Lonchura striata: one gene and its partners. The protein of the gene in region 1 purifies or fractionates together with the protein of each later gene. This does not show direct contact. Links are inferred from orthologs where the notes say so. Each region holds a gene or a part of one and is shown on either strand. Other genes may lie near its edges.

Region 1 (7,078 bases):
TCAGTGTTTAAACCAGGAGATTCTGTTTTGCTGGAAGGTGCTGTGTTACCTTCTGCAATGTGAGTGGACCATGGAAAATGTCACCATTACTGAAAAGTAAAAAATTGCAGAGCTCCTGTGCTGCAAGACCCTGAACACTTAACAATATCATGAACACACAACAGGTTCCCTACAAAAATGGCAATTGAAATTATCCATAAAAGGCAGCTTGAGGGTAAACACAGCTAGAGCTGGCATTGGCTTGAAGAAGGGAGTGCAAGGCCATTCAGCATCTCCCTGGTTCCAGCCCAAGAACCAGAGCTTGAGTGGTAGCTACCAATGCATAGAGGAGGAGAAAAGCCATGTGTCTTTTCCTGGATATCAAACAAAACTTTGAATGGCAAAGACTTTTCCTTCCCTCCAAGCTTGAAATACTCATATCTTCAAGATACTATTTTATTTACCTTAGATGTACTCAGAGCTCCAGCCAAGTGCACCAGTCTCCCCTCATTCTGCTGAGAGATACTGAGGATGCTGTCAAGAGGGACCACAAGAGAAAGCCCCTCATCGAGAGACTTGGCTGTCCTTAAAGCTCGTCCCTGCAATGAAGAAAAGAGAAATCAAGTTGTGGAGAATCAATGTCACAGCAGCATTTTGTGAACAAGATTAGCAGCATCACAAGAACTGATGACCACAAGGAATCCTTGTATATTCAGCCCAAGGCATATTTTTCAAACACACTTGTACTTCTCTATTCTCTGTCTGAGCCAGTTTGGGGCAGTACTTCTCACTCAGGCAGTGGGACCATTAACATTGACTAAGCTTCTCAAACAGACTCAAATTCTTCCTACACAGGTCTAAACTTACTGCTCTGCACTTCTTACCTTGTTCATCATTCCTCAGTAACTGCAAAAATGATATAAATTATAGTTCATTTTCTACACACCTATATTGACTCCTTGGCAGAAGTTTTCCCTGCTTATCATCATATCCTGATGGGCTTTTTTTCTGCAAAGTCATCAAAATTTGAAGCAGTTATTATTCCTCTTGTAGAGGTATGAAAAGAAGTCTCTACATGAAAACCCACAGAATTCTGATCTCCACTCCAAAATTGCCAAAACAAGTATGTTTTCAATGGTAGGGTGTTAAGATTCCTGGATGACTTTTTTTTTTTTAAAACCTCAAACCAAGAAATAATACTGAGAAACTCTGTATTATTTCTGAGAACTCCTCTAATTTTGCAACATGGGGTATGAATTTCTTTAAAGTAATTATAACACCACTAGAAATTAGGACCTTTTGTTATCTCAAGAAAAAAGAGGGCGGGCTCACACAACCCTCTTACCACAGGCTGTTTCATCACCAGTTTACAAGCTTTGGATGTTATTTCTCATCACACACTGCTACTGTCTCTACCATACCTATTTTCAGAGAAATACTACCTGTGGCCTGTGATTTCACTTTTCTGTTACATCCCAAGCATATACACAAGGTCCCCAGACAAAATCTCCTCTTCTCAAAGATCAATTAATGCTGTGTACAAACACTGACAGTATTGCACTTACTTCATTGGTAAAAAGAAGGTAGAAAGCCAGAAGAAATGTCACAAGTCCAATCAACATGCCTCCAGAAGTCTCACTGAGTCGCTCCAGGAACCCTGGTTTGCGCTCACTTGTGATTTTAACATGCTCTTTTCTGCTGCCTGTGTCAGAGAACTGCTGAAAATAAACAAAAGTGCCATATTGGTGTGAAAGGGGAAAGCATTCCGTTTCAAAACAAGTCTGCTAGCTTTGTTAGCACTGCTGCACTACAGAGAACCTCTTGCCTTGGACCAAAACTTGCCGACACTTATAAAATGCCTTAGCACGCTTTTAATACCAGAAACACATTCGATAAATAAGACTCCATCCTGGTAGAAAAAAACCGCAATTTCTATTATAGTGGTTCTACATGTTCAAGCTGTCTTCGGTCTGCCTCCAGGTTCTGTATTTGGAGTCCACGCCCTACATTCATGCCATGACAAATTGAGTAATAGCCCTAAATTCCTGACCAGCTAAAACACTGCTATAAATAACAAATTATGATTCACCTCACCAGTAAAAAGTGTGCCTGCACACTCTAAAATAATTATATCCAGGTTAACAATAACTCAAAACAAGGCACAGGACTAACATGAGAGCCCAGGGGTTTTTCTGTGCACACGCAGCTTGTGAGGAGCTACCAAATCCCACTGCAGCACACTCACACAGCCAAAGCAGGGCACGGAACTTCTCTGTATGGAAAAACACACTACGAAAAGCCAGTGGCCATAAAGGAGAAAGAGAACTCCTGTAACTTTATTCGAATAAAGGCAGTCCAATAGAGTCCAATGGGGCACACAGCCGCGGAGTTTTCTCGAGGTTTCGGGGGGTGCAGCCTCCTTTCATCCTAAACTCCTGGCTGCTCGCTGCCTCTTCCTTTCCCCATCGGCTCCTCGGAAGGTGGACAGAACCTTCCCGAACCGGCTTCCACATATCCCCCTCCTTGAACCCACTGTTTTACCTCAAGGTTCAGAAGTTCAGGTCTGTGGAGACCCACTTTCTGTTCCACGAGTTAGGCTGTGTGGGCTCTGTAACAAACCTGCTGCCCAAAGTTCACAAACTCAGGCTTGTGCAGATCCCCTTCCTGTGTCAGGAGCCAAGCCGCCTCAGCTCGGCAACCAGCCTGCTGCCCAAAGTCAGTAGCGACGCGAAGACCCATTTCAAAGGCATTAACACCCATACTTTCAGCCATGGAATTATTTGCAAAGACATTAGCACACATCTTCCCTCTCATCTAAAGACGGCACCGGGCCGTGGCCGCAGCCCTGGCACACCGGGGGCGAACGGGCCGGAGCGAGCAGCACTTACGTTCCTCGACATCCTGAGCCTCTCACGCCCCCCGGGAACCACAGCTCAGGGGCCGCCGGAGCCGCGCACCGCCAGCCGCGCCCTCAGCCGCTCCCGCCCCTCCTTCCTCCTTCCCTTCCCGCCTCCCTCTCTCTCCGCCCTGCGGCCGCGGGGCAGGCGGAGCCCCGCGGCCGCAGGAGGTGCGTCACGGCCGCCGCGGGGCCGGGAAGGCGCTTCCGGAGGCGGGAGGTCGCGGCGTGGAGCGGCGGCGCGGCGCTGCCCGAGCGGTGCCGGCGGGACGGCAGGAGCGGAGCGGCGGGGCCCGCGTGCGGCGCGCTGCGGAGGAAGGCACCGGCCGGCTCCGCCATGTCCTACTGCAGGCAGGAAGGTGCGCCCGAGCGTCCTCCCAATGTCACCCCGCCGGGGGTGGGTGCGCCGCGGGGGGACCGTCCGCTGCCCGCAGCCCGCCAGGGGAAGGCGCAGCCGGAGGGGAGAGGAGGCGCGGCGGCCGCCCGCGGTCCGCGTGTAGCGGCGGCAGCGCCTCGCCTCCCGCCGCCGACCTTTCTCCTCACGGAGGGCGGCGGGGCCGTGGGGCGGCAGCGCGGTCCCGGCCGTGTGGGCGCGGTGAGGGCACGGTGAGGGCACGGTGGGGGTACGGTGAGGGCACGGTGAGGCCCCGCAGCGGCCGGAGGTGCCCGCCGAGACCGCGTGTGGCCTCAGGGCGGCTCCCGGCCGCGGGGCGCCTGCTGCCCGCCGGGGTTACATTTATCCCAGCCTGGCTGAGCGGCCAGAGCTGTGGGGTTTTGCCTTTTTAAGGTCGATGGGCAGGGTGGGTGTAGTGCGAGCGATTCTGTATCGTGTTGTACAGGTGGTGGTGTTTAACCACTTCTTAAAGTGGGAGATGCGTAGATAAGTATCTATATCTACTTATATATAAATAAAAATCCTTGCTCTCCTAAGTAATGCCAAGTGGCTGAATGTAAAGTTTCAGGATGAGGAAAAAAGCACCAATAGTTCTAAATGCCATTCGTAAGTTACAAACTTGGCCACAGACTATAAACTGTATCGAGGTGGTCATAACTTATGGACCTCTTTTATGCTTTATGCTGTGCTTTGTTTAGTTTTGCAATATCTGTAAGTTGCTTTATGCAACCCTACAAAATTGCAGTGACAGGGTTAGAGTTCATGTGTTTTCTCTCTCCTTTTATATAAGAAATGACCAAACGTTCCACATTGTACTCCAGCAAACTTTACCATGCAGATTTGTAAGAAAATTGTTACCATTTTTTTAAAAGGTCTTAGATTTTTCTGTTTTTCAGATATGTTTAAATGCATGGTTACTCAGCAAGGTTAAGTTACTGAACATCTGCTGGCTGAGGTCACACTGAGGGGCCAGAAGATTCTAATTTCTCATATGTCAAGTTACTGTAGTGGCCTTTATGAATTTGGAGAATTCTTGGGGAGTTTACCATTTTTTCCACTCTCAGAGTGTGTGTTAGAGCTTTGCAAGGTTGTTAGAAAACTAAAACTACTGAAGTTTCCAGCCAAGCCTCCCCCGACCCCACTATGGAATGTTTTAGTTAAATCAAGAGCAGGAAATTTGCTCTGTTGCATTTCCATCCCTTGTAACGTTCACAACACTTTTCAATGTAGTTAGCTCTATATGGTGACGGCTGTCTTCTGTTTTTAATTCATATGATTAGTTTAAAATATTATACTGGTCTTTAGCAAAGAGTGCTGTTATTAATAAGTACCTATTGAATGCTTTACTGCTATTATAGGGTTTTTTTTTCCACTTCTAAACCTGTCATCTGTTTTAGTCCTTGTCTTGGAGCAATTTGAGTTTGTTTTGAAACAGCTTTTTAAATTTGCAGTTCAGTGGAGTCTACTGTTCATTACAGGACATTGCTATGAAAATTGGAGCTTTAGAATAACAGAATTTCAGTGTGTATGTGTTCCTCTGGACTAGCAACTGTTGTCATTGAAGGTAATTGTTAAATACAACAGTTCATTCTCAATATTGGTGAGTCACATTGTGGTGTTCAGCAGTTTTGTAAATAAATCTTTTTCCATCTCAGATTTCTCTGAACTGTTGTTTCTTGTCTCCTCCATGGCAGGAAAAGACAGAATAATATTTGCAACCAAGGAGGACCATGAGACACCGAGCAGTGCTGAGCTGGTTGCAGATGACCCAGATGACCCTTACGAAGAGCAAGGTCAGTAGTGAGCTGAAGAACAGAAGTAAGGGGTGTTACATCATATATAAATCCAACAGAAAACAATCCCTGCACGAATTAGGAAAACTTAAGCATATTTAAAGCCTGAGGGCAGCTGGTTATGCAGAAAATACCCAAACTCTTAGCAGTTTTAACTGCGAGGTTAGGACATCACTAATGATACGCTTTATTCCAGTATTTTGTCTTCTACACTTGTGATTTTTCTTAGTACCTGTTCAAATAAGTTGATGGCTTTTAGTTTTGGTTAGTGGCCAGGGATATGCAGGGATACCTTTTCCTTTTATTAATAATGTTAGAGCCTAATCAAGTGAAAATTATGATTGTTTTTCCTGTTTTAAGTAACAGTGTGCAATTTTTAGAGAAACTAGGGAAGTTTTATATCACTGTCATTGAAGTGAGTTGCTCACCTGCCTGTGAGCAGTTGGAATTGCCTACTATGGCAATGTCTGAATATCTGATTTAATATAAATTAATATCTGGCTAATCTATACTATACTGGTAGCAATATAATCAATATCTTTCAGTGCCACATGACGGGTAAGTTAAAATTACTGAGTTTTCAGCTGCTATCATTGTGCCTTGAAAATGCAAAAGTTTTAATGAAGATTACAGTTCTTGTCTGAAGCATATCTAACCTGAAAATAGAGATTTAAGAGAGCAGAATAGTTCTGAGACCAAGATTTACAATATTCTGGTTGTGTATTTTAAATAATGGGTACATGAAATATATTTCCTGTAATGATTATTTAATAACTTTTGCCCTGGGTTAATGATTATCATGGAAATGTGAGTTTAGGTTAATTTTTTCTAATTGCCTGTATGTTTACAGACCTTTTGGTCTCTTCACTTTGTGGGAAGGGATTTCATTGGTTTCAGCTGAACTGAAGCTGAAGTAAATTCTTCAGACTCTTTGAACCTTAGTTAGAAAGTGAAAGTTATGCTTTCTAAAGTGTCTCAGAGACCTTTAGAGGGCAGCATTTAAGCAGTTTAGCAGCTGGAGCTCACAGGGTTTCTGTTAGCTGATATGGTGTGTAGTGTAATTTGAACCATACCTTCCTCTGTCATTTAGATTAACTTTTTTCGTACTTAGACTTGTGTTGAAATGTTACTGCATTATCTGCCTATTTTGGTTTCATTTGAGCTGTATGTAGTCAGTTATATATCCAAGTGTTTTTCTCACCTGCACTGATAAGTCTGTTGATGTCCTGGTGTGACATACTTTTGGGTAATAAACTAGTCAAAATTAAAAAAAAAACCACTTTATTTTTGTTTAAATGCCATATAATTCATTGCTCTTACGTGTATTCTGGTGGACATGGAAAGGCTGTGGTGAGGAGGAGAGGTGATGGGCTTTGTTTCCTGCAGTCCTGCATTTACAGAATGTTAGGTCACTTTCTTCCTCAACAATAGATAAAGAAGAAAGGGGAAAAGCCAGGAGGTTTTTATGTCACCTTACAGTGACAGTATGTGTCTGGGGTTTCAAAATGAGAAATATGTTTAAGTACTGTCAAAAAGTTTGGGTGGGAATTTCTTATTGTGTGATTTTCTTAGTTTGTTGAGTTTTATTCTTAGTATGTGGTACATTACTGCCGTGTTTTTAAGTCTGAAAAACCTCTTGAATGATGCAGGGCTACAGTGCATTAGATCAGAAGAGAGAAAATGGACCAATCCCAGAATGTAGCAGTAGGGAGTGAAGCTTATGGGCAGGAAAGACATGGGTAAAATGGTTTGAAATATGTTGAAATGCTGAAGCTCTGGCATGCATTGCTTTTATTTAAAAGAAAATTGGGAAGGGTTTTGCTGTACCTAGTGTAACATGTAGGCTTTTCTAATTTAGCTTCTACATGGAATAGAAGACTTGGTTTCCAGTGTTGTATAATTAACTGTAAGGACTCTTTTCATCTTTTCTGCTGTGCCAAAGATACCAGTCATATCTGGGAAAGAATAGATGCATTATAAAGACCTGCCATAATCTGCATTGTTTTCTAATACACC
Region 2 (8,001 bases), on another chromosome or scaffold:
TAAGTGGATAACTTCCCTGTTCAAAATAGATTTAAAGTGTGGAAGAACTGTTGCGGATCTGATTAACTGACAATCTGTAAAACAAAGGCCATTACAATTGAAACATAAACTTTTTTTTTTAGTTGTTATCATGTTAAGAAGCACCTTCTAATTTAAAGAATGGAGGTACTGGAGCTTTCAGCACATCTCTAAATAGCTCATTTTGACAGATAATCATTTGCAATATTAAAAACATTGCCTTATACTGCTAATCTACATCCATTCTGCTTTTGCTGTCTAGCATGGGATTGTCATTGTGCTTCTTTTAAAGAGTTTGAAGATTAACAGAGATTTTTTTTGAGTGTGAAGACTATGATAAAATGCCAAAGGAAGTACCCTTTGGATTTTATTAATTTTATTCAGTATTTATGCAATGCATTTATACTTCATGGTGTATGGTTCATTTATACTTGAAAAGGTGGCTGTCTGAATTTCACTGTGCAAGTTTTTGTACAAAATGAGAACATGTCTCTGTCCTAATGGTGTTACAATCCACAGAGCAATGGGGGTGCTTCACTCTTCCCAGTTGCCACCCTTTTCCTCTGATTGTACACCATGGACAACCTCCTCTATAATGTTTTGTTTAAAACTCCATGTTCTTTTTCTCTTCTGAATTCAGCTGCGACACCACTCCAGGGCATCCCCTGTCTGCTGTGGGTGGACACTGAGTCTGGACAGGAGAAAATGCAAGTAAAGAAGCAGAGGAGCCAGATAGCATCCCTGGCAATCTCACAGGCCACCCTTGATAGTGAGCATCATGGCAGAGTTGAGCAACAAAGCAGCACTGCCGGTGGGGGGCCATTCCTCACCAGAGCACTGTGGTGAAGGTGTGAAGACAAAAGGCAGTGGAGATTGGTATTAAGACCTCATTTTAGGTGGGAATCAAAATCCCAAAAATGTGTTTTTAAGCTCTACCCTAAAGAATTTGTTGTCCTTGTGCCCACCCTCTCCCCTTGCCCTTGAATCTTTTAGTTACAATTGGAAAATTGTTTCACTCTCGCTTTTCCCTGTGGCTCAGCTCTGGGCTCCCTTCCCAGAGCAAGTTTTTAAACTAATTTTAAAAAGAGACTGTTTCCCCATGAGACAGTGAGGAGGCAGATGTGCTGTCTGACATGCCATGGCATGTCTGCTGGCACTCTTGTGCTCCCAGTCTGAGCTTGGTATGCCTCCTGAAACAAATGGTGCCTCTCTCATGAGACTGCTTGCCCTTGGAGACACTGTCTTCCTTTTCTTCTCAGGAGGAAGAGACAGTCACATACAACACTTGAGTCTCACAGAGGCCGTGATAGGAGACTGGAGATCCAGCCTGGAAAAATATTTGAAGTCAAGAATGTTTTGAAAGGCTAGAGTAGAGGGGTCAAGCATGTGAGGGGATAAATTTTCTATTTGTAGCAAATCCAGTGTCAGTCGTGTGAACAGAGACAGGACTGGAGAAGCAGTGTGGGAAAGCAGACAGACAAGCCTGGCAGCTTCTAATGGCTAGAGAGTGTGGATGCTGACATGCTTTTCAGATTTGTTGTGAAGGGAAGTATTCTTCCTTTTCAGACATTGTTCTTGATGCTTGTTCTTGGTCCTCCTCTTGACCCTTGGGGAACAGGAAGACTGCACATCTATGTCAGGTCAATGAAGATGGATGTGAACCTTTCCTTTTCCTTTCTCCCTATTCCTCCTCATATTTTCTTCTCATTTTCTTATCACAAGAGACTTTCCTCAGATTTCTCTCATCATCTCACTTGACCTGTCACAACCTGGCTCTGGGCTTCCTCACGCCTATTTCCATTTGTTTTCCTTCTTCACCTTTTCTTAGCACCCTAGATTTTCAGGAATGCAGATCCTCCTCAACTCTAATTTTTACCCAATATCTTCCTTTTCCTGATGGTTAATACCATTTTCTGGATCCTTACCTCTTTTCTTCCCTTCCTTCTCTCCAGCCTCTCTTAATTTTCCCCAACACACTTTATCTCTGTCATGCCTTGCAATCTCTGTGTCTATACAGTTTGTTGTCTACAGCCTCTCTTGTGTCTCACAACCTCTGCCTGCCACTGAGTGATCAGCTTCCTCATGAGAGGAAGAGGAGGGGCAGGCACTGATCTCTTCTCTGTGGTGACCAGTGACAGGAATGGCCTGAAGTGTCAGGGGAGGTTTAGGTTGGATATCAGGAAAAGGTTCTTCACCCAGAGGGTGGCTGGGCACTGAACAGGCTCCCCAGGGCAGTGGTCACAGCACCAGCCTGTCTGAGATCAAGAAGCATTTGGACAATTTGGGCACATAGTGTGACTCTTGGGGTGTCCTGTGCAGGGCCAGGAGTTGGACTTGATGATCCTGTGTGTACCCTCCAAATTGGGATATTCTGCGATTCTATGATCACATTTCTTATGTGTCCCTTTGGCCACATCACTCTGCATTGTCCCTGGCTTCCCTCTGCTCCACCACATGAAACATCAGGCTCTCACCCACACTGCTGACACTGCTCAGCTTATTGCACTGTCACTCCTTGGTGGGTTTGGAGAAGGCAGCCCTGGGTGCCAGGGCCACACTGCTGCCACAGTTCATGCTGACACCACCAGCTCCCTCTGCCCATTGCCAACCCAATGTGTATTTTGCCAAAGCTCTTCTGCTCACATCAACAGCCTTAGGGCTTTTTGAATCTGACCTTAATACTCCTTTTGGCATCAGCTCCTGCAGGCATTGCTCGCTCACAGCCTATAGGGATGACTCCCTGTGATGCCTATAAAAGCATCTGATAGCAGATAAGCTACTGCAGCACTGGGTCATCAAAACCTCTGGCCAACTCCATCTCACTGTGTTTGAGTCCTCTGTCTGTGGTTCCTTGGCTGAGACTGTAACCTTCCTAGGGCAGGGCAATCTTTATCTTTTCAGCATGGTGAGTGCCACAGCATGATGGCACAAGTCCCTTTAGTAGTAGTGATGTTAGCAAGAGAAAAAAATACACAGCTCTGTGTTCAAGGATCACAACAGCTATCTTAAATTAGATAGAAACTGGACAGGCGCCTCGTTTGGACAGAAAATTGAACGGGGAGTGGAGGAGTGGAACTCCATGCTGGCTTCCAGCAGATGCTCCTCATGGGAGGTGAGAACCTGAAGGTCCTGCTCTTCAGGATAAGTCATGTTTATCTGTTTGCTGGTAAATGAACAGCTGAATTGGTAGACAGACCCCAGCCTCATACCTTGAAAGGAAAGAACTCCTCAGAGTTTCCCAAAAGCCCATAAAAGCTCTTGAGGGTCAGAAGAGAGCTTGGGTTTGTACATCTGATGAGACAGAGTTGCCGTTTTGAGGCAGGAGGTTGATTCACAGGTCTAGGACAGAGGCAGGATTTCCACCGGTTTCCTGGCAGAAATCACTGATCTGTTCAGTGTGCTGTGCCTGCTGTCATGCACATCTTGAGACACCTCATGCTGGATTTTCATTGGATTGGGACCATGCCCATCCTGAGGTAATGCATGTCAGCCTTGAAGTGGGGTGTTTAAATTTATTGTCTGACCTAGCTTTGCCTGCTAGTAGGGCTTACCATCCTTATGAAAATATTTTTTCTGCTGTCCAGGTAATTGCAAGTCTGGAATCAGAAAAGCATCTAACAGCAAAGGTTCAGCTTCAGTTCTTGATTTTCCAGGAGCCTTTATACATTCAGGAAAATGAAATTTTATTTCTGTGCTTTCCTTTCCAACACCTTTCCTGAACATGACTAACTCTTTCTGGCAGGGCTGGGTGACCAGTCATCTGCCTGGACCAAACCCAGGCCCACTTACTACATTTCCTGTTGTTCCCCAGCCTGTCCAGCCTGCCTCTGTCTCCCCTAGCTGATATCACCACACCAAAAGGTGTCGACGTATTTCCTTGTCTTGATACTTCCAGAAGTCATCCCTGAGTAGAGGAATGATAGTCATACAGTGAAGTCTATTTTTAGCCTTTCACGGACTCCTTCTCTGACATTCAGCAGGCTCACCACCATTAACCACTCACCATTCCACTTCATAATTTTCAGTGTGGACATAATCCTACCTTGTCTGCAAAGTACATGTGGAATGGTAGCACGTGGGAGGTTTTTTGCTTGGAAATTGTATTATAAAAGGGATTTGTGCCTTATTGACATCTAGGATTTTTTTAAATTGTTGGCAACACAGCTGATCACATCTCACTTCTTGGGTGGGAAAATGCTACCTTTTCTTGACTCCAAGGTCCTGCTCTGTGATCTCCTTTCCATCTCCACTGTTTAGAAAACATTAATTTTTCCCAGTCACTGAAGGAATACTGCTTTTACCCAGCAGTAGCCAAGGTACCATAGGCAGCTGTTTCTTGGGTGGATGGTTACTCTGCTGAACATAAACTTGGAGGAGCAGCTTAATTTCCTTTTTTTGCCAGTTCCATAGGTTTGGTCAAAATGTTCTGTGGTGGATGCTGATTAGGGATATGTGGTCTGAGGGTCTTCATCCTTCTGTGTGTTGTTAATCTCTTCTGAGAGAGGGTCTCCCGAGATGAGGTGATGCTGGAGGGTTTTGAGTTCCCAATACCGCACCAGGAGATACGGCAGGTGAATGCCTTTCCCAAGCATCTAAGCAGCATGTGGCTGGCAGCAATAGTGATGACAGACACCCCAAAAGGGGACAAAAAGGACTCCCAGAAGCTCCAATATTGCCACCTCTCTTCTTTCTCTCCCTCTCCTTTGGCCAGGCTCACAGCTGGAGAGGACAGCTAATACCTTCTTTGGGGTGGTGGAATCTGACTTTGCAGCATCCCCTCTGACAGCCTTAGGAGCATTTCTGGCTGTGTCAGCCAAAATTCCTGCCGGGGACTGCTGCAATGCAGCACACCACACCCCCGCCGGCGCTGAGCCCCAGCCTGGACGGTCGGTGCTGCTCATCTCCAGCGCTGCGGCTGCCACGGGCGCCCCTCCTCCTGTTGGCCGATGATTCCAGGTTGCCTGGCATCCCCTCCTGCGGGCGGCCGTGCCCGCGCCGTGTGTCACAGCGGCCCCGCTCGCTCGCGTTCGGCTCCCGGCGCGCTGCCCGCGGAGCGCGCCGCTCCCGGCCTCCGGTTTCGGATTTCATCCCTCGCACGCTGCACCCGAGCTCCAGACGCTCTCCGGCTTCGCTGCTGCATGGACTCTGAGCGCAGGTCCTTTGCCGTACCCAGCGGAGGCAGACGGGGCTTCCCTCGGCTCCAGGGAGTGGACCATGAAGACGTCAATTGTATTCTTGCTTTGCATCTCCGTTTTCCCAGGCTTTTCCCAGGGCAGAGTTGTTAGAGAGGATGAAACTGGTTTTGCCGAGTGTAACGTGTTCTTCTCTGGACAAGTCCCACCCGAAGGATTTACGGAGCCGTTCCATGCGAAAATCTGTCAGCAGTACAACAAAGAGCCACGCTTTGCAACCCTCTACAGCACTAAGGACAAAATCCCTCTTTATTCAGCTTTTAAGTTTACAAAGCCAGCTCAAAGTGAGGAGGAGAACTGGCTGGTTGAACCGCAGGTAAGGCAGCTTTTCCTTTGCTGAATAGCAACTCTTCCTGGAGAACATTTCCTCTGGGAAATGAAAGCTGGGGCTAGAATTTTGCAGAGGAGGCAGGAACTCTTCTTGTTGAACTTCTGTTGGTATGAATATAGCATGAGCAAAACTTATTTTTGTGCTTGGAAACGGGCAAACAAATACTTTCTTGTCCCAGGGAGCTTATAATGAAAACTGAGAGGCTGCTGCATGAAAGTGCAGTGCCAAGGGAGAGGAAAGCCCTCTCTGACACCAGTGATGTGTTTGTCCTGCCCAGCCAGCTTTCGTGGGCAGGGAGCGCTGCTGGTGGGTTAAACATCGCAGTGTCAAGTTCAGGTTTGTTCTGTTGCCAGTATGCTCACAGTGTTGATAGGGGTTCTTTAGCTTCACTGAGCAGAGATAAAGCATCCATTTGTGGTTCACCAAGTTGATGCTGCAGCTTTTCAGTGAGTCCCAGTGTTGCAGACTGAGGTAGGAAAATCAGTTGCTGTGTTGTGGGGCATGCAGGTTTCAGTCAGGTCAGAAGTATACAGTATAAAATGAATCTTGCCAGAGCCTCAGTGGTTTTTGTTTCTCCTGCCACTTGGCGTGTTTAACCAAGGCCTTCAGGCTGTTCAATTTAAAGGAAATCCTTTAAAAACTGATGGTGCCCTAAGAGAACTTTAGCTCTCCTATTTCCCCTCCCATTTCTTAGATTTTTCAGCAGTGATAATGACAAATATTGTAGCAAACATCAGGCTACCCCATCTGTTGAGCTCAGGAGAGATTATGAGTGTGTACAGGTACTTTATTAGGGCAGGAATGGCTGCAGTGTCAGAGCAGTGTGTTAGAAGTGTGGCCCTCAGCTACTGGATGTTGCCACAATCCTGCGGTGGCTCATTCCTCTGCCAGGAGAATGCTGTGCTTATTTTTCTCATGTGTAGTGATGAGACACTAAGGCCACAGGCATTGAAGACAGGAGATATTAAATGGTTATCTTAGCCTGGACTGTCTTCTGGCTGTCTGGGCTGGGTCTTGAGTTGCAGGAGTTTCTAAGAGCCTTTTTATCTGAGCTCCTTCCAATTCGCAGGCAAGCTGTGGGATCTTGCCCTTTGTTAAAACAGAGGAAACTTTTTGCAGACTCTGTCGTTACTGAGTTGTGGCAGGGTGGCAAATTTTTAAAGAGCAAAGGGGACTGTCTGGCAAGAATCTTTGGTCAGTGCCATGGAGGCAGCAAGGTAAAGCAGCAGAGATGAAATCCTTTCCCATTTGCCTTGGCTAGTGACACCCATCACCTTTAGCTCCCATATCTTTTCCTGCTTCTTGCGGTCCAGCTCTCCCACCCTATCTAGGTAGGCTCGGGAGCTGTTCCTGCCATGGAGCAGTGGGCAGCCCCCCCACTCCCCTGCCCAGTAACTTTGGTTCCCCTGGACCTCCCTTGAGCTGGTGTCTCTGCCCTTCCTGCCCCATCCCTTTTGACACTCGTCTTAGTTCCTGCCAGCACTCCAGAGTCCCAAACCTTGTGTGTCCTGCCACCAAGACCTTCTGCAGCCTCAGAAATAGTAGGGCAGGTGCTACCTTTATTTGATCTGGCTTCTCCAGAGCAGCCTCACAGGTTGACAATAATGGGTCTACTGAGACCCCACTATAATAATAATGAGACCCCCACTAATGGGTCTTCTTCATCCACTAGTGAAATGCAGATGTCTTAGAGGCAGGAGTCAGCAACTCTGCAGCTCCCTGGAGGAACCTCTGACTGAGACAGAAAAGTACTAGGACAAAAAAAAAAAAAAAAAAAAAAAAAAAAAAAAAAAAAAAAAAAAAAAAAAAATCTGCAGAAGAATATGTAAGGGGAAGAAATCAAGAATATGAAAAATTCCTATAACTCAAGAAATGAGTGCATACAGCCCTCTCAGATACTGCCACTTGGAGGAGAGAGTGGTGGGGAAGAGCTTTCACACCCTCTATGTGTGTTCTACCAAGGCTCTTCAGATGGCTGCTGAAGGGAACCCTTAGCAACACCTGCTCTGCAGCATAGCCCAGTGAGCTCATATCACCAATTTTCTGGGTAATTTGCTTGCCAAGATAGGGATAGCTAGGTATGAGCTGGCTCAGCTGCACAGTGGCATGTACTTGCACATGGAGATGCAGACACACAGCAAAGGGAAAGAAATCATTATAGAAACACTCTCAGCACTCCAGTGAGGGCCTCAAGGTTGTCATATGCTTTTTTTTTTGTTATAATGATGTAAGTGGTGAGGGCACCATCTCACTCCCTCCTCAGGAATGTCTGCCTGAGAAACAAATGCCAAATGTAGCACAGAGGCAGTAATTGGGTGAGGAGTGTGAGGAATGTCAGTGCCACCCACTGCAGATTGGCAGCTGGAAACAATGAATTAATTCAGCAATTAGTGAAAAATTAGAGAGCAGGAAGGGTAGGCTGATGAGCAGGGTACTGATGGGACTCCCGCAGGCGCAGGT
Region 3 (7,300 bases), on another chromosome or scaffold:
GAAATTATAAAGCTGTGAAAATAACCACAGATTAACATTTAAATCGATAAATTACACATGAATTTATCATGCATGATGGGGAATTAAATTTGTTTGCATGTTATATTTCATATTAATGTTGCATGCTTTAGAAAAACATTGTAAAAAGAAAAAGAGGAGGAAATAAGAACATCATATAAGGTTCCTTTCTCCACAAACCTATTCCCACCTTCAGGTAGCACTTGAGGATTTATCTTCTACACGTTTACCACACCCACTTGTATGAAAGGCTGTGGTTCCATTTCTGATCGAGCTACTCACCCTCCAAGTATGTTTATGAGACCCAAGCATGGAATGGGGACAGGTGCCATGTCTGCCACAGAGGGACTAAGCAGAGGAATTACTGTTTGTGAAGGTGACAAGAAGTCAGGGAGCACCCCCACGTGTTTTGCTGCAGCATTTATCCCACCTTACAGACAAAGCTCAGGCTGGAACGTGAGACAAAATACAGTGTTGTACTTTAAATAACATTAATCTTTAAACTTGCTTTAAAAAACAGTAAGAACTCTTCAAATGTTCATTACTCAGCTGCAGGCTGGAAATATCTTGAGATTAACTCTGACTTTCAGGGCTACAGCAACTGCTGTTAGAGAAATGCTATTTAACATTATGAAGGCCTTCAGACCTAGCATTTTCCTTATTAAACTCAGCATAATGCTTGCACAGTTTTGCAGTACCTCATCCAAGCAATTGACACGGACATTCTTGCTCCCCAGCAGCCTTCCAGCCTCCTCGGTGTTTCCTTTAAATATAAGGACAAAGAGAGAAAAAGGGTTGAGAATCTAGAGGAAAATGGTCATTTCCATTTCTCATTAGAATCAAACTCTTTGCATGTAAACTGATTGGGATGTAGATTAACCACCACTAAAGTAGCACTTAGTTGACACTTGGTGAAGAAGCTTAGGAACGAGCAGTATTATGTTCTAGAAGCTAAAAGCTGAAAGAACTCACAACATCAAGGAGCAGTTGGAAAGCATGAACTATAAGTAAACATCAATTTTTTGTGAAGTAACTGACCTACACACACAAGAAAAGGAAACTAACATAAAGAGCACATGAACAGCTCCAAATGAGTGTCGTAATACTGAGCATTGTAATACATTTTGTACTTTCATCTCTTTTGGAGCATCTTTTGTCTAAAAGAGCTGTTTACATTCTCAAAAAAGGAAATTACCTCACTTCAAAGACTTTTTGGTTTGAATGAAACATGATTTATCATTTACTCACATAATTTTTCCTGTTTCAATTTGAAATTTGCAATGTTTCACATTTACAGGAGTGGAATGAATTTGCTCTTGGTAATAGAGAGCAGAGATAGAAAGGACAAGGACCCAGGTAGCTTGATCACTAACATCTGTAAAAATTGCCAAATGCATAAGTAGACTGAAGACTGAAAGAAAATGTGCCAGGAAAAACAGGTTACACCTGTTTTCCAATTCTACTGTCCTGGCATTTTTCAATTCCTTACCAAAATCCTTTTGGCTAAGCCACAGGTCTAAGAATCTGATTTAAAGCCCACTGGAGGACTATTCAGATATTGCCAATGCAGCTTCTACAGGCACAAAGAAATAAATGACATACCAAGAGTCTGAGTTTGGAGAATATTTATTGCAAATTAACAGAAACTTATAATTACTGATTCAATCATAAGCAAAACTCTTTCAGCAGTGATGTGCTTAATAAAAATAAGCACTGCATCACTTATTTTAATGATTTTCATGTTCATCTTCACTCTTTCAGAAGGTGGTGGTCATCTGTTGCCCTGATTTTTAAAAGTGTTTTCTTTTATAGTTCTTTTGAAAGTTTTAAAGTTCTTCTAAAAGTTTCCTATGCCTTCTGATATTTACATATTTCTACTGGCATTCTCATGCACTGTTCATATAAATAACGATTGTTTTACATTCTTCTTTGTGAGAGGAGAGAATTGATGGACTGTTGGTTTGACCAGCGTGGTTGGAGAGGTGGCAATTCCATCCTCCAATCCACTGTCACTTTTGGAATTCTATATATTGCAAGGTCAGAAATAAAATTTGCTCTTTTTCTCCTTTGAACTTACCAAGTCTCTGTGTACTCATTTTGTGTCCAATAGTGACAGTCATCCAGCAATTTTTCAGCAGAACAGCTCTTGCAACTTCAGTTTTGGCTAAAAATCCCATTGAAATACTAGAAATAATTTATTTTCACAAGGCTTTTTGGTGTGATTTAACTACACTACAGGGGCTTTTACCACTTTTCTTTTAATTCATTAATTTCATTAAAAAAAGACAATTGTCTGAGTCATTTTACACACTTAATAAAGACCCCTGACAGTCATGGAACCATCAACCAACTTATTCCCCCAGACATACCTATATTCTAAACACGTTAGAAACTTCTTAAGAACTAGATCAGTTTACAGAGGAATATCCCAGCTAAAGAACCAACATCAGTAAGAGAAAGTCTTCAAGGGGTGATCTTCAAGTAAATTTTAATACAACCTAAGCAAAGCAAAGTTGCATTTACAAATACAGAGTTCTATATGACAAAACGTTGAAAGATTTCCAACAAGGCACTAAACTGATGGAAGTCAGACTTCTAGAACTGGCCAGAGCTAAAAGTTGGAGCCAGGCCCCTCACAGTGGTGGCATGGTAGGAAGCCAAGAGGTTAACAGGCAGAAGCTGAAATAAAAGGAAGCTTCAGACTGGATACAAGGAAAACATTTTCACAATGAACCCAGTAAGGCAAGGAGATTGCCCAGAGACACTGTGCAGCCATCCTCCTTGGAAGTTATCAATACCTGATGGGATAAAGCCCTAAGTGATCACATTTGACCTCACAGCTGATGTGTTTTGAGCAGGAGGTTGGCCTAGAGACCTCTTGAGGCCTCTTCCAACCTGAATTATCCCATTACCCTAATCAGAAGCATCAAGTAAGTTAGACAGAGGTGTCTGCAAGATCAAGGTCTGAAACACTTATTAAAGTGAGTCAATCAAACTGGTTCTGGTCCACAACAAATTCACTGCTGACTGTCTTATGCTTGTGTCTCTGACATGGAGAAACAGTTAAATACAACTGAGAGTGAAGCATCAAAACTGTAGCAAAACTTTCATGCGTTCAAATTGCCTGGTAACTACATACAGAAATGCATAGAACACATGAATTTTTCGTTTGCTTCCAACTAATGAATGTTGTTCATGATTTTCAAAATACCAGCTGGAGGGGAACTATTTATTCAGAGTTATGAAATTCACATTGCTGGAACCCAAATGACAGAAAATTCCCCTGGCAACCAGTATGTGTGACAGACAGTGCAATGAAAGTGTGACACTCACATGAAATGCAAAACCACAGAAGGGGTCAGGTTAGAAGGGACCACAGCAGTCTGGTTATCTGGTCCAACCTCCCTGCTCAAGCAGGCCCATCCTAGAGCACATGGCACAGAATTGCATCCAGACAGTTCTTGAGTATCTCCAGTGAGGGAGACTCCACAACTTCTCTGGTTAATCAGTTCTAGTGCACGGTCAACTCCACTCTTACTCAAGAGGAATTTTCTGTGCATCTGTTTCTGCCCACTGCCTCACATCCTGTTGTTCGGCACCACCGGGAAGCACCTGGTTCTATCATCTTGATACCATTCCTTCATATAGACATTGATCCCCTTTCCTCTCTCTAACAGAGCAATATAAGATAGTATAAGGAGCAGTAAAATAGAACATTATAAGGGATAAGAGGTGCGCAACGCCCCAAACAAGCTCAAGTGCTGGCAATGTAAGAATAACGTGTCTGCAAAGACGCCCTGGTCTGACAACATGACACGGGAAAAACCTTACAGCACGCTGGAAAACTGGATTATCCCCAAGAAAACTTTTTTTTTTTTTTTTTTTTTTTTTTGGCAGCGGACATCATAATTCGGCAAACGTCAACAGACATTGCCAATAAGATGCAAGCAAGCTTTCCTCGGCAGCGCCAGACCGGCCCAGCTGAGCTTCCCCAGCCCCGCTGCAGCGCAGCGCGCCCCCCGCACTCCCCGGGTGCCGCCTGCCCGAGGGAGGTGAACCCGCGGCGGGGAGAAGGGTGGCGGCCGACGGCGGGGGGGAGGCAGGCGGCCCTCAGCGCCGTGACCCGAGGAGCGCGGCCGGGGCGAGGGGAGCCCGCGGCGAGCGGCCGTAACGGCGCCTCACCGGCCGCCCGCAGCGAGCGGGGCCACGCAATCCTCCGGGCACGGCCAGCGCGGCCCGTGGGAGCTGCGGCCCGCGGCCGCGAGCGGCGAGGGCCGGCAGGGCTCACCTGTGGAGATCACTGCCAGCAGCTCTTTCTCCTCCGCGCTCAGGTCGCCTTTCCTGGGGGGAGCCATCGCGGCCCCCGCGCACGGTAAGGCGGGATCGGCCCGGGACGGCTCCCGCAGCGCCCCCTCCCGCGGCACCGCCCCGCCCCGCTCCTCCGGAGCCTTCCGCCCGCAGCCCCGCCCTGCCGGGGCCGACGGCGGGGCGAACCATTCCTGCCCAGGGATGGGGGTCGCTGCGTGCCAGCCTCTCGCCCTCCGCCAGCTTCCCACCCGCTGTTGTCGGAGAGAAGGAGCCTGTCCCCTCTTGTTCCTTGTTTTCAAGTTGAGAAATGCGTTACGCTTTTCTTTTGTCTCCCCTTTTTGGCTTCTCCGGGGCTCCTCCGTTTCTCCCCCCCGGGGAGGTGCCGGAAGTGGTGCGGGCGGGCGGAGGCGCCGGTGTGTCAATGTGTCCGTCCTTCACTCCTCCATTGTCTCCCGCCGTCGCCGCTGCTGTCGCGCTCGCTCGCCCTCCCCGCCCCGGACCGCGCAACCACCCGACAGGTGCGGCCGGGATGGGGAGAGCGCCAGGCGGGAGCCGCGCCGGAGCCCCGCCGGAGCCCCGCGGCCGCGCTGCCCAGGCGACGGCGGCTGCTGTGGGGCAGCTCCGGGCGGGCGGGCGGGCGCGGCGGCCATGGCGGAGCAGGGCGGGCGGCGGCGTCACGGCCCGGTGCGGGTGCTGCAGCCCGGTTCGGAAGTGCCGCCGTTCGTGGGTTTTGTGGAGCGCCGGCGGCGCCGGGTCCGCTGCGGGAGGGCGGCGGTGCGGGCTCCTGGCACGCCGGCTCTTCCTTCCGTGCTCCCGCTTTCCTGCCTTTTTATGGCATCGGTTGGTTGGGTAGTTGGCTTTTTGTTGTTTTATTTTTTCCAGGCAGGAAGAGCGTTTTGTTCGGCTAAAGCGGCCGAATGGAGCCGTGGTCGCGCCGCGGCATCGTGTCTCCGGGAGGAAGCGGGCGCTGATGGATCGGGAGGGGAAGGAACGCGCTCAGGGTGTTCAGAGCGGTGCCTGTTGTTGGTGCCTTTCTAAAATTAAACTGTTGCTGGAAAAATAATCTTTGTTACAGATCCAACTTTCCACTATTCCAGCGGAAGCTCGGTAGGCACAGGGACGATCCTGTCGATTCCCTCCAAGGGACAGAGACTGAGGTTTAACATCTTTGATTTTTGCCTGTGTTTATACCAGAGAAAAGAGCAGGACCCTGGTACTTGATGCTGACTTTTACCCTCTTTTGCTCTACTCTTAAATGTATATTTTCTGTATTCTTCCTTTTAAGGAACTAATTTTTTTACCTGTAACGAAGTTTTGAAGGCATGGCTTTATCAGTAAGCCGAATTTTTCCATTTCTTATTACTTGCAGGTCACCTCATATTGAAATATTTCAATATATTTTGGAATTTCTTTTTCTAATACTAAGCTTGTTCTCTATTTTGATACCTGTTGATGACTTGTTGACTGACTTTCAGAAATAATGAAGTCTCTCATAGAAGAGCATGCTCGCTGAATATAGCCTATCTTCATAACTATTTGGGTAAAAAAACCAAAATGTGATACAATTTTGTTTTAACTAAATAGCCAATTTCTATATGTTTACATGATTTTAAAACTCATAGAAATAAAAGGGTGTACCACCTAGTTTTACTTGCGTCAACCAGTGTATATAAAAGAGATTGGTTTGGTCTTCAGATTATAAGAGATTCCCTTGACCTTTTTTTTGTGGGAAACCAAAAATGTTGTGAAGGAAATGCCATTGAATTACAAGTGCTTTTAATATTCTGATCCAGAAACGATCCCTATGTGGCACTAACAGAAGTATGTCACTGGCTCAATCATGAAGGCTGAAATTAGGATTTAAGTGGTCTTTTGTTGGTTCACTGCAGGGTGTGAATTTTACCTGCTGTGAACAAATCTTGTGATACTACAGTGCCCTGATAATCTCTGTGGCACTGTTAAATAATAGACTTCAAGCTTCCTTTTGCATTTTAAAAAAATCCCAAAAACTGTTGTGTTTTCTGCACAGAAAAATGTGCATATGACATTCCTTTTATTTAATATGAGAATGTCATTATTGCCATCCTGCCCTTGTTCACAGAGTGAACAGACAGTTTTTCCTTGGCAGCCTTAACTGGATCTCACTTGGTGACTAAGGCTACAGGAGTGTTCCATCTGCAAGGGTAATAAAATACTTTAAGTGCTAGTTAAAACATGTTTCTCACTCTTACCTGGCTTCTGTGTGACCTTCAATCCTGTAACATGCAGATATTTCACAATCTTAAGATCACCCTTGTGAGAGTGTGAGGAAGTGGCATTGCCTCCATTTTATGACCATAATTTGAAGTGTGGAGGCAACAAGTAATTTTTTTTCAAGGCAATGTAGAGAGTCAGTGTCTCGGCAGGGAACTGGAACATGCAAATGTAGGTTCTGTGCCTTTGTGTCTTTCCCTTTAATGCATTTTCTTTTATCTGTTTGTTTCACATATTTAAGACATGTGCATTACTGCTTGGTAATTAATAGTTTATATTTTGAGTATTACAGAGGGAGAAGGAAATGTTAACCTCACTGTGATTCAGAATATTTTCTAGATTTTAAATTGTATGTTTACATATTAAAAATTCCCTATTTCCTCATTAGGTGATGTGTCTGGTACTTGTGATTTGTGAAGCAGGAACTAGTGGTGAAATTTTTCCACAGTGGTTTGCTGGTTTTACTGCATGGAGGTGTGCTCATGGGGATTCGTGATAGCTATTGTTAACCAATGTGTAGGTGATCCTAAGTGCCTATGTGCAATTGTCAGGGATAAGAGGCATGCAAGAAGATAACAAGGATTTCTTTAATCAAGTAACATTCATTTTGGGAGAATGTACAGAATAATAACCTTTTTCTTGGGTTATCTTGGGGAGAAGAGACTGGCTGCCCTATGCCTTGGAGAGTGCACCATGAAACTCTCAGTCTTTGGACATGGAA
Region 4 (7,429 bases), on another chromosome or scaffold:
GAAATTACTGAAACAGAAACTGCCTCAGTTGCACAGAGCAAGGCTCCTGTCAGCCAGCTGAGCACACATCAGGCTGGCTCAGCCAGCCTCATGGGGAAGATGAGCTGCAGCTCAGCTTTGGTTTTTGTGGGTGACTGGTGGTGGGAGAGACCCTCGAGAAGCAGAGATGAATAAAGGGGGGTTAGCCTGGAGCAACTTTAAATAGAAACTGGTTGGTGGTATTTTATCAAAGATAAAAGTATCATACATTATTTCACTATTAGAAACCTATGGGTAAATAACTTTTACTTCAGATACATGCCTGCATTTTCATTCTGCTTCTTTAAAGGAGACAAGTTTCCAGTCATTCTCTATGTGTATAAACCCAAGGTCACTGGTAGTGTATATTCAATACTTGGCAAAACTCCTGAAATGAGTTATTGCACACATAAATAAGGTACTGTTCTTTCCCAGATTAAGAAATAACTGCTGATATTATTGTGCCTAAGATGGGAATTCACCTCATCCCCTTTCTCAGTCTAACTTTCTTAGATTGCAAAATTGTGGAATGTTTGTTGGACACAGTTTGCATTCATAGATATTTACAGTTGCAGGGCAGTGTTGGCTGCAGTTCATTTCTGTGAGCCAAGGGCCATGACCTGGAGCTCAGGACAGGAGGAGACAGGAAAGCAGGCTCAGGCTGTTCCCTGCTGGAGCCCCAAGCTGCAGCTTTGGCACAGCTCCAGCATTGTCACTGCTGCTGTCGTCCTTGCTGGACACCAGGGGATGCACTCTGAGATGTTCTAAAGAATTGTTCTAAGAGAACAACTCTAAAGATATGTTCTAAAGCACCTGCTTTCTTGCAATTATTCTTGTGTTTTGCAGAAATATTGGTGTGGAGAGAATGTGAAACAGTGTAAGACTCAAAATATCTTCTATGGTCCACAGTGTGTGAGCTCTTGTAGGGAAAAATTCCTTAGGTCAGTTTTGAAGGCAATGCTTTGTTCTAAGTCCCTGGGCAAAGTGGATGCTTGTACCCCAGCTTACACGAGTCATTTGCCTTGTTTTTCAAAAACCAAAAAGGTGACAGACAAGGCTGCTTGCAGCCAGCAGAGAAGGCACTTGAACTGCCATGTTCTGCAAGGATGTAGGTACCAGAATGGAAACAGGGTTGCAGCAGAACACAACGCTCCAGTCCCTGCAGTAGCTGAGCTCTTACACTGTGAAGTATCGGGTTCAGGAGTGCCAGGGGACAAAAATCTGTGTCTGCTCCCTGCTTTTGCTTTGTCCATTGGTTTAGGGTTTAGATTCTTGTTGCAAATTGTTCCATTATGAGATACATCACACTACAGAGTGTCTGTCCTGCTGCTGCAGGTTATGGAAAATGTCTCCTCTCCTCTAAAGCTAATTTTTTTTAAGTCCGGTGATGCCCAAGGAAGGCATTGTCACCACTTTATTAGCTTTGCTGCACCTCTTTCAACTCATGCTCTGCCCTGCAGCTCCAGGAGTGAATTGTTTACAGTAGCAGAATTGTGACTGGAGCAGCTACCCTTAACTCTTCTGCGGGGAACCTGAAGTGCTCTCCTACTTGCCAAATCATCTACAAGGCCACACAATGGGGACACTTCTTGCACACTCACTCTCCAGTGCAACTGCACTCAACCCAGGAGTTTTCTGCAGGGGAAAGGCTTGTGTCAAGTTGTTAACCAAGGGAAGCGAGCATGCTTTAAGCAGGGAGAGCACAGTGGGTATTTAAACAGTGAACCATGCCAATAGGGCCATACAGCTGATCTAAAATCTAGCAGAATTGTGTCTGTATCTGAATCTCCCCTTAAGTAAAATGTAAAATGGACTGCTGTGTCCAAAACTTTCCACCTGAGCCCCACAAAGGTGCTGTTGCAGCAGGGTGGCTGGAGACCCTTGAGAGGGGCCTTTGAGAGCAAGCCAGGGCAAAATGAACCATTCAGAGCCTCTTGATGGTCTGCGTGTCTGTGCTACATTAGAGCATGATCAGCAGGGATGTAGGTGTATGTGCTTTGCTTTGCAATGGAGCAACACTTCACATTTTCCATTTCATTAACTCTGGGATTTATCTGGCAATACCAGCACACATGGGAATTCCACCTAGCAGTTCCTGCAGCCCTTCTGTTAACGCAGCTCACTGTTCCTTGTGTACAACACAGACCTGACCTTGTGTTTCCGTGTGAAGACAGACATGCACCTTCCCCTCTGAGCTCTGTTCAGTCCAAGATCCAAACAAAAGCATCACCCTTAAGACAGCAGTAACACTTCAAGCACGTGGAACTCTTCAGCCTTTAAGGCAGTTTGTCCATCTGGTTGTTACGAGGAGCAAATAGTCCCAAAGACAGCAGAAGAAGTGCCATGTACTCTAAAAGATTGCATAATAGGAGCTATGAACTTTCAGTAAGGACAAGGACAGGTTTCCAGTAATGATTTCTGTGTTGGGAGTGCTGATGGGGATTTCCCAGCCATGGGTATCCTTTCCAGTTTCCTCTTTTGAGGGGTTTGAATTGCTTATAAATACCCTCTCTGAGTCTGAGAGCACACAAGACGATCTCCAGCTCCTTTGGTTTTGCCGTTCTGCAGTGGTGAGTGGCATTCTGAATTAGTGAGCTGTGTGCAGTGTTTTGAGCTGGTATTCTTGGGAGCAGAACCAATGCTTTAGCATGTGGGGCTTCTTTGTACTCATGACAGGAGCAGCAGGGATTGCTAAAATGCATGTTTCTCATGTGCATCTGCTTTAGTTGCTGAGTTTGTGGTTGCACAGAGGTCACAACTCCTTGCAGGGGGAGAAGGGGGTCCTGGGTGAGCCCCCAGCGCTGGGGCAGCAGCCTGGGCACATCTGGGGGTGTGGTGGGTTCTCAGTGGTGCTCCAGGACTGCTCATCTCTCTCACTGTTTCCCAGCTCCCCTGGCCAGGAACCATGAGGCTCTGGGTCTGCATCGCGTTGCTCTCCACTGTTCTGTGTGCAAGTGCTGACAGACCAAGGATGTTCGATGGAATAGTCCGAGGTGGACAATTTGTCCGGGATGCAGCGGGAGGTAAGCTCTGTTACCAGGGGCCCTTCCCTTAGGAGCCCCCTCCCCAAGCACTGCTTACCAGCAGTCAGTGCTGCAGCCCTCAGAGCAGGGAAATCTGCAGCTCCACCACGTTAGAAAGCCCCTGGTTTCTGCTGCAGGACCTCGAGGGCCTTGACCAGCCCCCACAGGTGCTTTCTGTGAGCACAGCCCTGTGCAAAGGCTGATGCAGAGCAATGCCTCACTCTGTTTCTGCTCCTTGGGCCTTTCAGCTCCTGACTGAGATGGTACTGAACTATTTCTGGTGCAATTCTTTCAAGTCACCCTTATCTCCATTTCTCTGCCTTCTTCAGGAGCGTATGATATGTTCAGAGCATACAAGGACATGCGTGAGGCAAATTACAAAGGTGCCGACAAGTATTTCCATGCCCGTGGGAATTATGATGCTGCCCGGAGAGGACCTGGTGGTGCTTGGGCAGCGAGAGTGATCAGGTAATGGAGTGTGTTTGGCTTGTTAAAGTGAGTTATTAGCGATTCAGGCATTCCAGCTGGAGTGAGGTCCTTTTTGACTCGTAATCAGCTTTGCACCTAGGACAGCAGAGGGGAGGGGAAAGAGTTCCCATCTGGACAGCCGATCTCTATAGGAATGGTGCCACATGAATGTGAGCCTTTCTCCTTGTCCTCCCAAGAAGGCAGATTTCTCTCTCTGCATTTCTGATAAAGAACTCTCCTTCATTGCTGGTTCATTTCCCAGCATAACAGATACGGGTTCCACCGCGGGCTTTCAGACAAAGGCCGGGCTTGTGCTTGCATCTCACCTTGAGAAGCCTTAAAAAGCAGTTTCACATGAGTGAGGGCCCCAGCACAAGGCTGAGTTAGATGCAGTCCGTTCAGGTGACATTTTCTCCTTCCGCACAGCGACGCCCGGGAGAACTGGCAGAGCGGCGTGAGCGGCAGAGGCGCCGAGGACACCCGGCTGGACCAGGAGGCGAACGCGTGGGGCCGGAGCGGCGGGGACCCGAACCGCTACCGGCCCAAGGGGCTGCCCAGCAAATACTAGCGCTGTACTCCGCTCCTGTCACACCTCCCTGTGTACAACCCAATAAAGGAATCCTCCTGAGAACCGTTCCCTTCGCTGCGAGCATCCGTCCTGCCGGGGCGCGGGACTGCGGGGCGGCGGTGTCGGCGCATCACGGGGGCTGCTCGGGTGCTCCGGGAGCGCGGGCGCCGCTCCCTGCCGAGGGGCGGCCCTGGGCGGGCGGGTCCCGGCACTATCCTGTCACGGTCCCGGTGCGATCCCGGCGCGGTCCCGGCGCGGTCCCGGGCGCGGCAGGCGGCCGCGGCCGCCGGGGGGCAGGGGGCGCTGTGGGGCCGCGGGCGCCGCTCCGGCCGCGCCGCCGCCTCGCTGCCCCCTCACGGCTGTGGGGCCACCATGGACCGCAACCCGTCGCCGCCGTGCAGTGATGCGGAGGAGGAGGAGGGGGACGCGGTGGGGAACACGGTGTACAGCAAGCACTGGCTCTTCAGCGTCCTCACCCGCCTCATCGAGGTGCGCGGCCGCCGGGAGGGAGCGGGCGGCGGGCCCGGCGTGGATCAGCGCCGGGTGGGTGCGACGCGATCGCTGCCAGGGCCGGGGGGACAGCCGGGCAGCAGCGGGGACAAGCCCGGGGACACAGCTGGGATTCACAGGGCACAGAGCCGGGGGTCGGGCGGGGACACAGCGGGGAAACGCCTGGGGGGCTGCCGGGTGTGCGGGGCTCAGCCGGGTGGTTCTCCCCCGCCCCGCCGTGTCGCAGGTGATCGCCCCCGCCGAGCCGGAGCCCGCCGCCAGCCCCCAGGGAGCCCGCACGGAGCTGGACGAGGAGATGGAGAATGACATCTGCAAGGTGTGGGACATGTCGATGGACGAGGTAGGAGCCCTGTGTCCCGTCAGAACGGCGCTGGCCGCGGGAGAAGGCAGGGAACCAGCCCGTTCTGGCGCTGCTGCTCACGCCCGGCTGTGGCGGGCAGGGTGAGGCAGGACTGCTGCGCTGGGGCGGAGCAGGGCAGCAGCTGGAATTAACTCGGTGCACAGCCTGTGCTTTCAGCACTTGCATTATCAATAGTATTGATGCCATCTCTAAGCAGGCGTATTTTCCTCTAGCAATTGTCATATATCCTGATGGTAACATAGCTTTCTCTGATAGATAAACAGTCTTTCAAAGTTTAGCTGCAGACTTGCAGTGTCAATGTATATTTCTCAGCACTCTCAAATGCTGGAACAAATTATCGAGATATATATATATTAGTTTAAGTATTATTTTATTCCCTACCTTGTTTCTCAGATTTTTTAAGTAAACATCGAACATGGATCTTTTACTCCCAAACAGACAACTAATCTTGTGTTTTAATGTGGTAAAATGAGGAAGAGATTTCTTCTGATCAAGTGTTCACTTCACTTGCTTCTTTTTTATATGTCATGGTGATGTCATGCCTTAAAACACGATATTTACTGAATTCTGGTTGAGAGTCTGTTTCTGTTGAGATAGGGAGCAATTTGCATTTTCTTGTGAATGTGACTTTTTGGCTCATTCTACAGCAAATCACCAGCATACTGAATCGCCAGAGGGGCTTGCTGACCTTCTCTCATTGGAAAACAAGGATTATTGGTATTAACTGCTGGCAAATAACAAATTCCTTGTAGTGAATTTGTCATCTCTTTGATCCAGTCCTTGTGCTGTGGGAACATGTTTGATTTTGCATTTGGAAATTGCAAAGGTCCATTTACTTCTCCATTCACTTTCTCTGCAGGATGTTGCTTTATTTCTTCAGGAATTCAACGCCCCTGATATATTCATGGGAGTTTTTGCCAAGTCCAAATGCCCTCGCCTGACTGTAAGTATGGGCTGTCAAAAAGCTCTTCTGTGTTAACAGCAACAGTAGACAGCTCTGTACATGCATTTACATTTATCTCCCTTCTCCCACTGCATGTGTAATTTATAAGGGGAACCAGGAGAAAACACAAAATCAAATTTTTAAATGCTTTTTCACTCTGTTTTTAACATGGTCTAATCAGTAAGAATTTTGGTAATGCTGAAGCTGGTCCATCTCTGCTCACACATCCTCATCTAGATATACTGATGAAGGACTGAGTTTATTGAACAGTTATAAGACCTGTTATAAAACCCAGCAGTCTGCCCTGCTTTTTCCTTTTGACTTGTTTCATGATTACTGAACAGAAATGGTCATGAATTTGTTTAGGCAGACCTGCAGAAGTTTGACCCTGGCTGGAGGCCAGGTGCCCACCAAAGCTGCTCTGTCACTCCCCTCCTCAGCTAGACAGGGGAGAGAAAATACAACAAAAGGCACATGGGTCAAGATGAGGGCAGGGAGAGGTCACTCACCAGTTGCTGGGATTTGTCATGGACTTTGGCAAAACAGATTCCACTTGGGGAAATTAATTTATTACCAATAAAATCAGAAGAAGATAATGAGAAATTAACACAAAAAGATTACAAAAAGTAATATTTGGAATTGTTAAGGCACCAATACTTTAATTAAAAAAAAAAAATTCTATTTGTTTTGATGTTACTGATTTCCAGCTTGTGCTACACAGTGCACTGCAAGTCTCAAAATAGGATTTTCAAAGGTATTCAGTGTTGATGTAAATCCTCTTTCTCAGAAGTTAGCAGATGCTTTACTCCAGGAGATCAGTAGAGACAAATAGAGCTTTGAAAGTTTAGTACTTTGGAAAATACAACCCAAATTTGCAAGTGAGTGCAAATTAGCTGTCACAGCTACTATAATGAAACAGTGTTTGCTGGAGTGCCTGATGTAATATAGCAGATGTTATAGCATGTTCATAATTAAGAAGACAATCTTAGTGGAGAGAGTTGATTTCTGACTTTCAATTTCTGCAAACTAATGACTCGCTTTGTTTTAGCCTCAGTTACCTGCAGGTGTTTCAGTGCTCTCATGGTCCTCTTTACACAAGTGGGCATCCTCTTAATGATTACCTTGGCACGAATATTCTAATGGGATGAACTGCTTTGGGGGTTTTATTTTATTTTATTTTATTTTATTTTATTTTATTTTATTTTATTTTAATCTCTTTAATCAGAAAATGGACTTTGCTGGAAACTTGTATTAAGATCCCTTTCTTTTGTGGGCACAAGAATATCAGTGAGGGTCACATTTATGTAGTGGTATTTTTGTTTTAGGACTCCTTTTTTGCTTTAATAACAGGGCTGTCAAATTAGCTTCAAAACAATATACAAAGAGTATGCAAGCAGAGCTGATTTCAAGATTTGTTTTTATGGAACACCTAAATATCTGCATAGTACCTGAGTGTATTTTAAGCTAGTCTGATAGAACAGAAAAAAATTGCATGGAATCTGTGCAAAAATTTGTATTTTTGTAATGAAATCAGTAAG

Evidence for each region.
Region 2: the proteins of TMEM43 (region 1) and ENDOD1 purify together in Homo sapiens (affinity purification with mass spectrometry; 3 studies listed by BioGRID and IntAct, with this or other methods). This does not show direct contact. The link is inferred for Lonchura striata from reciprocal best matches to the Homo sapiens genes TMEM43 and ENDOD1.
Region 3: the proteins of TMEM43 (region 1) and BZW2 purify together in Homo sapiens (affinity purification with mass spectrometry; 3 studies listed by BioGRID and IntAct, counting the BioPlex papers as one, with this or other methods). This does not show direct contact. The link is inferred for Lonchura striata from reciprocal best matches to the Homo sapiens genes TMEM43 and BZW2.
Region 4: the proteins of TMEM43 (region 1) and SAAL1 purify together in Homo sapiens (affinity purification with mass spectrometry; 3 studies listed by BioGRID and IntAct, with this or other methods). This does not show direct contact. The link is inferred for Lonchura striata from reciprocal best matches to the Homo sapiens genes TMEM43 and SAAL1.

Annotation. Positions count from the first base shown.
Region 1 is NC_134614.1:14,600,653-14,607,730, reverse strand, and holds the start of TMEM43 (transmembrane protein 43), read right to left. Parts: upstream 3,008-7,078; 5' UTR 2,880-3,007; coding exon 2,868-2,879; intron 1,698-2,867; coding exon 1,545-1,697; intron 579-1,544; coding exon 444-578; intron 1-443. Other genes in the region: CHCHD4 (mitochondrial intermembrane space import and assembly protein 40), read left to right, coding at 3,213-3,234, 4,964-5,062. UniProt on the Homo sapiens protein: May have an important role in maintaining nuclear envelope structure by organizing protein complexes at the inner nuclear membrane. Required for retaining emerin at the inner nuclear membrane.
Region 2 is NC_134604.1:39,661,974-39,669,974, forward strand, and holds the start of ENDOD1 (endonuclease domain-containing 1 protein), read left to right. Parts: upstream 1-4,983; 5' UTR 4,984-5,232; coding exon 5,233-5,526; intron 5,527-8,001. UniProt on the Homo sapiens protein: May act as a DNase and a RNase. Plays a role in the modulation of innate immune signaling through the cGAS-STING pathway by interacting with RNF26.
Region 3 is NC_134603.1:127,663,447-127,670,746, reverse strand, and holds the start of BZW2 (eIF5-mimic protein 1), read left to right. Parts: upstream 1-4,282; 5' UTR 4,283-4,306; coding exon of another isoform or gene 4,307-4,373; 5' UTR 4,374-4,390; exon of another isoform or gene 4,391-4,413; intron 4,414-4,708; exon of another isoform or gene 4,709-4,844; intron 4,845-7,300. Other genes in the region: ANKMY2 (ankyrin repeat and MYND domain-containing protein 2), read right to left, coding at 717-781, 4,307-4,373. UniProt on the Homo sapiens protein: Translation initiation regulator which represses non-AUG initiated translation and repeat-associated non-AUG (RAN) initiated translation by acting as a competitive inhibitor of eukaryotic translation initiation factor 5 (EIF5) function.
Region 4 is NC_134608.1:48,284,759-48,292,187, forward strand, and holds the start of SAAL1 (protein SAAL1), read left to right. Parts: upstream 1-4,423; 5' UTR 4,424-4,449; coding exon 4,450-4,566; intron 4,567-4,813; coding exon 4,814-4,927; intron 4,928-5,807; coding exon 5,808-5,891; intron 5,892-7,429. Other genes in the region: serum amyloid A protein-like, read left to right, coding at 2,924-3,041, 3,371-3,509, 3,936-4,077. UniProt on the Homo sapiens protein: Plays a role in promoting the proliferation of synovial fibroblasts in response to pro-inflammatory stimuli.